Mus musculus: one gene and its partners. The protein of the gene in region 1 purifies or fractionates together with the protein of each later gene. This does not show direct contact. Links are inferred from orthologs where the notes say so. Each region holds a gene or a part of one and is shown on either strand. Other genes may lie near its edges.

Region 1 (2,556 bases):
CCATGTCTGTCCTTTTTCATGCATTCTGGAGATGAAATTCAAACCCTTACATTGTCATGGCAAGCACTTCAACGCCTTCTCCCACGGAACTTCTCACCAGCTCTAGATTGTTTTTGTTTGCTGTAGTGGTCTTTTAGTATGAAATGCTTTAACACATTTGTGCAGGGGTCATGCTAATTATCTCTGTATCATTTCAGTTTTACATAAATATACTGTCAGAGCAAGATGGTTTTATTAAGTCCGTGCTGGTCTCAAACTGAAGGTCCTCTTAGCCTCCTGTGTGTTGTCTGTGGGGATTATAAGCACCACACCTGGCTACTTCCCACTTTCCTCCCAAGACAGGGTTGCTCTGTGTAAGCCATTGGCTGTCCTGGAACTCGCTCTGTCCATGAGGCTGACTCAGAGATCTGCCTGCCTCTGCCTCCCAAAGACTGGGATTGAAGGTATGTGCCACCAGTCCGCACTTCTTACCCTTTTATTCAGCTTAACATGCACGTTCTTAGAGTTGGATGCTCATACATGTCCATTTATTAGTAACGCTGGAGGGAGTGGCTGCTCTGTGTTCAGAGGCTGCTTCCTGAGTTTTTGCCAGCGACAGGTATCCTGGGTGGTTGGTGGCATCTCGTGTCTTTGTACTACTTGATTTTTGTATAGACAGTGTTTGTGATTTAATGTAAACTGTCTTCCTTGTTTGTAGTGATGCTAATTTTGTTTTCTTTCCCTCTTCCCTTACAGGTTGGTGACATTGTGAAAGTCACAAGGATGAATATCAATGGCCAATGGGAAGGCGAGGTGAATGGGCGCAAGGGGCTTTTCCCCTTCACACATGTTAAAATCTTTGACCCTCAGAACCCCGATGACAACGAGTGATTGCTGTGCTGTCCCTGCTGCTGCCTCCTTCTGCCTGTCAGTCTCCTTTGAAGTGGGAAGCACTCTGTCACATGCAAGTTACACCGAGCTGCTGGCGGTCAGCTTTCCATACATTGGCAGTCCCTGCACATACGGAATGCCTCAGCAGCTGCCTTGCTCGCTGGCTCGGCATTTGTATCATAGTCATGCTGTCAAAGAGTAGCTGATTTAGAGTTCTTGTGGATTGTGAACTGGAAACACTGGTGGAAGCACACAGTAGAGACTGGAACCCAGAGCAGCTCTTCCTTCCCATCCATCACTGCCTTGTTTGTACTGGAGGCTGACAGAGAGAGCAAGCAAGCCTGCTGATGGTCTGCATGGAGACGGTGAGGCTTGGCAAGGTCTCGCTTTGCTGGTCCACAGAACAGTGGTTTTGCCACCAACTCAGTTTTCTTTGGACGACAGAGGAAGTAAAACTCCAGACAATTCTGTCCCGAACTCCTCAAGTCTGGCTGGTTTTCATTTTCTTTTGTTTAGTTTTGTTTTTTGGAAGACTAATTAATTATAGTTGTGTGTTCTGAACAGATTTTTAAATAGTAGGTTGGTCTATGATGGTCTAAGGAACAATCCATGTCTCTGAGCTTCCAAACTGAAGCCACTGTACGTAACTAAAATAGGAAAAGACCCCCTCCAGGGGCCTTTATCTTTTGGTTGCCACAGTACCTTGTTTACCATGTGGCAAACAGTGCACAGCAGCAGTCATGGTGTACCTTGCTGTGAAGCACCAAGGTGGGGGTGGGCCTGCTGTCATCGCTGCCTCTGACAGGAGCAGACAGGGTGGGCCTCTTCAGTGAAAACGTTTGAAGTCTGTGGGCTTACTAGATCCGTGAGTTAAATTGCATTGCTGTGTTCCACCACAGAGGCCACCCAGCCCTTCCTGTACTGACCTAGCTTGTCCAGGCAGCTTGAGAGTGGTGTCTGTTCTGGTTCCACAGCCTGAGTAGAACCAGAATACAGTGCTTCTGAGCAAAAGAAGACGCCCCTCGATCATGAGCCATTTTTCCTTGCATGTCAGCTACTACAGATATGTGTCTGATCCCTCATCCACACATGGCAAACCAGAGCTCTAGAACCTTTCTAGAGTGCACTCTTTTCAGTTGGACCCTGATGAGGATACACCTCCACACAGAACGAACGTAGCAGACCTAGAGATGGAGTAGTGGCTAGTGAGCAGCTCTAGCATTTACAGAATATCTTCTGTAACCATGGCCCTGGTTCTGCAGGCCTGAGGCTTTGAGAACTAATGGAACATATTCAGGTGACAAAACCAACAAAACCCTTTGTCCACTATATTTATTTCTCTTAAAGACTTTAAATTTTTGTTTATGTTGGGCATGGTGGACACACCTTTAATCCCAGTACTCAGAAAGGCAAAGGCAAGTGGATCTCTGAGAGTTCAAGGCTATCCTGATCTATGTAGTGTGTCACAGGACAGGCAGGCCTACATACATACCTTGTATCAGAAGATGGCCCAATCCCCCCCTCAGACCTCCCCCCAAAAAAAACTGTATATGGGTGTTTCCACTACATGTATGTATGTGTATCACATGGGTAGTTTGTTAGGAGGCCAGAAAAGGGTGTTGGTTGGATCCTCTGGAACTGTGGAGTTACTCTGTGGGTTCTAGGAATTGAACCTGGGTCCTCTGC
Region 2 (3,150 bases), on another chromosome or scaffold:
GGAGCCCGGCGCGCAGAGAGGGCTGTCCACACTCTTCTGGTACTGAGCGCTTTGGGCTAGGTAGCAGTGACCCTACCAGGCAGATGGCTGTGAGGAGCCACCCTGTGAGAGGTTCTGGCCTGGCTACTCAGCTAGTCCTGGGCTCTCTGACTGCCCCTCTCCCACCAGGCACTATGAAATCCGGAGAAACGACGACATCATAAATTTCTTCAATGACTTCAGTGACCACCTGGCCGAGGAAGCCCTGTGGGAACTCTCTCTGAAGATCAAGCCTAGGAACATAACAAGGCGGAAAACAGACCGCGAAGAGAAGACCTAGGAGCAGGCTGGCTGTGAGAACGCTCAAGCAGCCAGGAGAGGACCTGGACCATCCCAGCCTCAGCCTGTCCATGCCTGGCTGTGTGGCAGCACCTGAGTCTCCTGGCCGGTCTCCTGCCTCCTTCCCTATGGCTAAAGTCCCAGGGTTCACAATGAGCTGGCTGGCAGGCCTCAGGGCTGGCTTGTGTACTGGTGGCCCCTGGTCTGGTTTTGTTTTCTGTTTTCTGTCAGTGCTCCCTCCTGTTCCCTCCTCTCCCCTGCAGCTGGAGAGCAGCAGACACCTGAGCAGCAGACCAGGGGAATGGCGGGCTTCACTGTCCCCAGGCCACCCTAGCCTCCTTAAGTGGCAGATAAGTAGGGGCCCCAGGACCCTTGGGTAGACTGCCCTCCGGGACCCTGGAGCCAGGGGAGCTATGGCTGGGAGACAGAAGAAGGTAGAAAGGGACCACGCAGGCATCTTGTGCTGCCCACTTCCTGCTTTTTAAACATGGAGGGAGAGGCATGTCAACCTGGCCCAGAAAGTATGGTGGGTGGTAGGCAAGAGCCACAGAGCTGACACTTCTCACAGCAGTGGCCCCAGCTCTGTCCTGCCATGCACGGCCACTAACCAAGGCACCTGCTGGGCTGACAGCAGCAGCACCAGTAGCACCTGTCGCCCACCACTGGTCCAGCCCCAGCCCCAGCCCCAGCCCCAGCCCACATCACCGGTACTCTGGGGATCGGGAAGAGGAGGCAGAAGGGACAGTTCATGCTGAGCTGGGGCCAAGACTGTGCTTCAGAGAGTGAATAAGGATCTTCAGTGACCTAGGGAGAGGCAAGCAGCCCCTCCGTGCTTGCTGTGTGCCTTAAATGCCATCTCCTGTTCCTTCCAGGCCTGTGGGCTTCCCTCCTATTTTGCCCCACCCCCCGCAGCCAGCAGGTTCCTAGTCCCCGTTTGCTCTCTGGGAGTGTCTGTTCCCAAGAAGTCTAAGCAGGCCTAGGACGTGAGGGCCTCCAGAGGTTTCCTGATTCCAGACAGGTGGCAGAGCCACCCCCTGCTGCTGAGGTTGACAATCTGTTCAGGGCTCAGGGCTAGGATCTCCCTGGGCATGGCCCTGTGGCCACCACTGTGGGCTAAATGGCAGGGTGCAGTTCAGAATCCAGAGGTGCTGCTGGCCCTGCACCATACCTCCAATTAGCTTTGCATGGACAAGCTCCCTTTTCTTCTGGTCGTGGGGCTTGGTCAAACGAATACCAGGATCTCTGCTTCCTCAACCAGTCCGCAGAGCAGAAGAAAAGACAGCAGCAGCTGCTGGCCGGGTACTCGTTTGAAACAACTGTCACTCTGAACCCTCCTGGGTTTCGGGGTTTGTTTTTTTAGCAGCTTTTATCAAATAAGAACTGTGGGCCCCTCTTCTGTTTATTTGTGCTGTAAATAGAGAGGGGACATCTGTAAACAGCCCCTTGGTCAGCTCCCTCTGGTGGCAGCCGGAATTGGATTGTTTAAGGAGTGTGTGTGTGGAGTCCGGCTTGTGAGCAGTCATGTGGGTCTTTGGTTTGTTCCTCTTTTACAGGTCCTTTCATTTCAGTCTTTGCCCCTGCTTCCTGTCCTTCACCAGCTCTAAGTGCTGCTGTGTGCAAGTGGGGAACACTGCACATGAGGTCCTTCCTCCCAGCGCTGTAGAGGCCCCTGCAGCCTCCCTGTGTAGCACAGGCCTACCTGAGGCCTAGCCTACTGGTGCTGCAGCCAACAGAGTGGGTCTATGGTCTATGTCTACTGGTTCCCAAGCATGAGCTGGGCAGAAAGGAGGGCTTACCTTCTAGACCCAGAATCACCAGGCCCTCCTATGATCCTGGGAGCCTTAGGCAGACTAAGTCAAGAGCCAGGACAGCTCTGGAGTTTCCGTGTGGGGATATCGAGGTGCGATGTGTGGGTTTAACTTATTAGCCAGCAGGCTTCCCCAGTCACCTGCCTCTGGCTGCGACTGAGCCCAGTGTTCAGGCAGCCTGGCTTCCACATGTCTGTTTCTTAGTGGTGGGGTCTGGGAGAGCTGTGAAGATTCGTCTTTGTATACATACTAAGCAACATGGACAGTTGGGTTCCCAGCAGAGGCCAGCCATTACCTGTGGGTAAGGCAAGCAAACACCGGATCTGGCTGGCCCTTAAGCCGAGACACCTGTTCCATGCCTCCCAGTGTGGCACTGTAATATAAACCCCCCACTAACCTGTCTGACAGTGCATCTTCCTACAGACAGAACAAGCGCGCAACTTTTATATGAAAGAAAAATAAACAGACAAAAGCCCATCTGATGCCATGTCTGTGTCCAGGCCTTCTGTATCTGCATCGGGCCAGTCCCTGCTGTTTGTGACCTAGGTGGAGGGGAGGGGTACGGTGGGGCCTGAGGGCTCTGGTAGGCATTGGGAACCCATGTGCAGGAGAGAGCTGACTCCTGCAAATGGTATGCTGATGGCCACACACAGATTCACACAGGAAGGATAGAAATAAATGCACAAGCACCATCCACACCCAGGAGTCATGCCACCCCACCCTGTGAGAGTGGCTTTAAAACTCTGCCTTCACTGTGCTCCTGAGGGTCATTCATTCCTCTGTCTTTCCGAATACAAGTGCTGAGGAAGACCAAGTGATTTTCAGACCCATGGATGTCCTCAGACCCTGGGAATGAAGTACCACACCCAGGAGGTCACAGCCAGCACCTGACTCTACAGAGCTGGAGTCAGGCTGGAGGGATGGCTCAGCGGTTAAGAACACTGGCTGCTCTTGCAGAAGACCTGGGTTCAATTCTCAGCACCTACAATTTCTAACTCCAGTTACAAATCTGATGCCCTCTTCT
Region 3 (2,371 bases), on another chromosome or scaffold:
AGGGAATGAGATGCAACCAAAACCAAAGAAAGCAAGGACTGTATTCTTGATGTTCTCTTCCAGTATCTGCCTTCTTCTCTACTCTCCAACATTTTCTCCAATCACTTCACTCGGTTCACATATAACTTTGACTCATAAATGGCCACTCAAAGCCCTTCCTATAGGGCTTTGTGGTATTCTGTAATGCTTTGAGATAAGTTTTCACAATGCAGTCCAGGCTGGTTTCAAAGTTGGTATTCTCCTGCCTCAACCTTTTGACTATTGGCCTTGCAGGTGTGTGCATTGAGCCCAACTTCAAAACCTCTGTAGATGTCACTTCATCTAGGATTCCTTAGATAATGGTCAACTCCCTTTTGTGCTTATCAAACTCCTAAGAGAGTTTGAGTCTAACTCTCCCCTAGACCCCACCCCTCTCCCTGTCTTTTGTATGGTCCAGTCTAAGGGTCAGAGGGAAGGAGCCAATGTCTATCAGACATATATAAGTCCATTTACCAAGAGTTCTGAGCAGGGGGTGTTCACTCAAAGGTTTAGTTTGTATAGCAGGTAAGGCTAGGTATTGTGAAGCCAAGGATACGAAAACAAAGAGAAATGGACTAAAGATTTATATGCACTTTAAGATGAAATGAAATGGCATATCACAACATGAAGTGACAAGATGTCTCTAGCAAATCAGAGTTTTCCAGCCAACAGCTGTGTAGACTTGAACATCACTGTAATGGGCCAGTTCCCTCTCGATAAAATGGAAAAGTACTACCCTCTACAGACACATGATTTGAAATCAAATTCATAATTATCAAATAATATTAAGACACCACCCTGTATCTGCTATGCTTATATTGGCAGTCGGCCCAATAGGACAGCAGAGTTTGGGAAAGCTAGCGGACACTAAGGTAATTCCTAGGAAGCAAGTAGTTTCCATGGAATAGAAAATCGACTATGCACTTCTTAGCAAGGAAGCAAGATGAGGGTGTCCCTGAGCTGACTCGGCTCTGAGTCAGGATGAAAGATTAACTGACTCCCAAAATCAGTATTCTTAGTAACATAGCTAGAAATTATCATTTCTATTCGAAAGAACAGTCCAGTTAGGGATGCTAATGATAGCATCAAGAAATCTGGTCCTAGGACTGTTGAGATGGTTCTGTGTAAGGGCACTTATTGCCACCCTGATGACCGGAGTTGGAGTCTTAGAAACCACACAGGAGAAGAGAACCAGCACCCATGAAGAGTCCTCTGACCTACACATGCATGCTATAAAATACGGCAAATTAGAAATGCTGAGATTTCTTTGTTGTGTCATTTTCCCTACGCCATTTCTAAGAGTTCTCGGCAGTAACAGACCACAATGTGTCCATCTTAACAGTGCAAATAGGAGAGAGAATCTTCATGAACTTTCCATCTTGAAGAAAGGCCTTACCCAGGAAGTAACAAACAGAAAGGTCACTACATCTGCTTTTCCCTTGCTGCCTCCCAACATTATTTTAAAAAAAATTAAATAGAGCCTACAACTCACCAAACACCGGTACAAACACTTTGCGAATAATAATGATAATATTCACTTTGTGAATAATAGTATTTTATTGAGCCCTCATAATGGCCTTAGAAGGTAAGGCTGTTGCCTTCCAGTTAGAGTGCAAAAAAAGACAAATGGTGTCATAACAGAAGATCTATGCTGGAGGATCCCCTAGGGATCCTCTTCCCAGTGTCCACGTTGCACAATTTAGGAAGCAAGGCATCCTGGATAAGGTCTCACAGCTCCTAGGTACCTGGCATCTACTAAAGATGAAGCTGATATCTTTTGACCCCACACCCATATTTCTTTCCCTTTACAATGTATGCCTTGCCCTTAATGAAACCTGTTCTCTTCCTTTTAGCTGAGTCAGTTCCAGCTGTTGGAACAAGAGATCACCAAGCCTGTGGAGAATGACATCTCTAAATGGAAGCCCTCTCAGAGCCTCCCAACCACCAACAACAGTGTGGGTGCTCAGGATAGGCAGTTGCTTTGCTTCTACTATGACCAGTGCGAGACCCATTTCATTTCCCTACTCAACGCCATCGACGCCCTCTTCAGCTGCGTCAGCTCAGCCCAACCCCCACGGATCTTTGTGGCGCACAGCAAGTTTGTCATTCTTAGTGCGCACAAACTGGTGTTCATTGGAGACACTCTGACAAGGCAGGTGGCTGCCCAGGACATTCGCAACAAAGTCAGGAACTCCAGCAACCAGCTCTGCGAACAGCTCAAGACGATAGTGATGGCGACCAAAATGGCCGCCCTCCACTACCCCAGTACCACCGCCTTGCAGGAAATGGTGCACCAGGTGACAGACCTGTCCAGAAATGCTCAGCTGTTTAAGCGTTCCTTGCTGGAGATGGC

Evidence for each region. The genes of interacting proteins can lie anywhere in the genome.
Region 2: the proteins of Crkl (region 1) and Rapgef1 purify together in Homo sapiens (affinity purification with western blotting; 16 studies listed by BioGRID and IntAct, with this or other methods). This does not show direct contact. The link is inferred for Mus musculus from reciprocal best matches to the Homo sapiens genes CRKL and RAPGEF1.
Region 3: the proteins of Crkl (region 1) and Nedd9 purify together in Homo sapiens (affinity purification with western blotting; 4 studies listed by BioGRID). This does not show direct contact. The link is inferred for Mus musculus from reciprocal best matches to the Homo sapiens genes CRKL and NEDD9.

What each region holds. Positions count from the first base shown.
Region 1 is NC_000082.6:17,482,926-17,485,481, forward strand, and holds part of Crkl (crk-like protein), read left to right. Parts: intron 1-735; coding exon 736-870; 3' UTR 871-2,556. UniProt on the Homo sapiens protein: May mediate the transduction of intracellular signals.
Region 2 is NC_000068.7:29,737,752-29,740,901, forward strand, and holds the end of Rapgef1 (rap guanine nucleotide exchange factor 1), read left to right. Parts: intron 1-168; coding exon 169-319; 3' UTR 320-2,612; downstream 2,613-3,150. UniProt on the Homo sapiens protein: Guanine nucleotide-releasing protein that binds to SH3 domain of CRK and GRB2/ASH. Transduces signals from CRK to activate RAS. Involved in cell branching and adhesion mediated by BCAR1-CRK-RAPGEF1 signaling and activation of RAP1.
Region 3 is NC_000079.6:41,311,671-41,314,041, reverse strand, and holds part of Nedd9 (enhancer of filamentation 1), read left to right. Parts: intron 1-1,871; coding exon 1,872-2,371. UniProt on the Homo sapiens protein: Scaffolding protein which plays a central coordinating role for tyrosine-kinase-based signaling related to cell adhesion. As a focal adhesion protein, plays a role in embryonic fibroblast migration.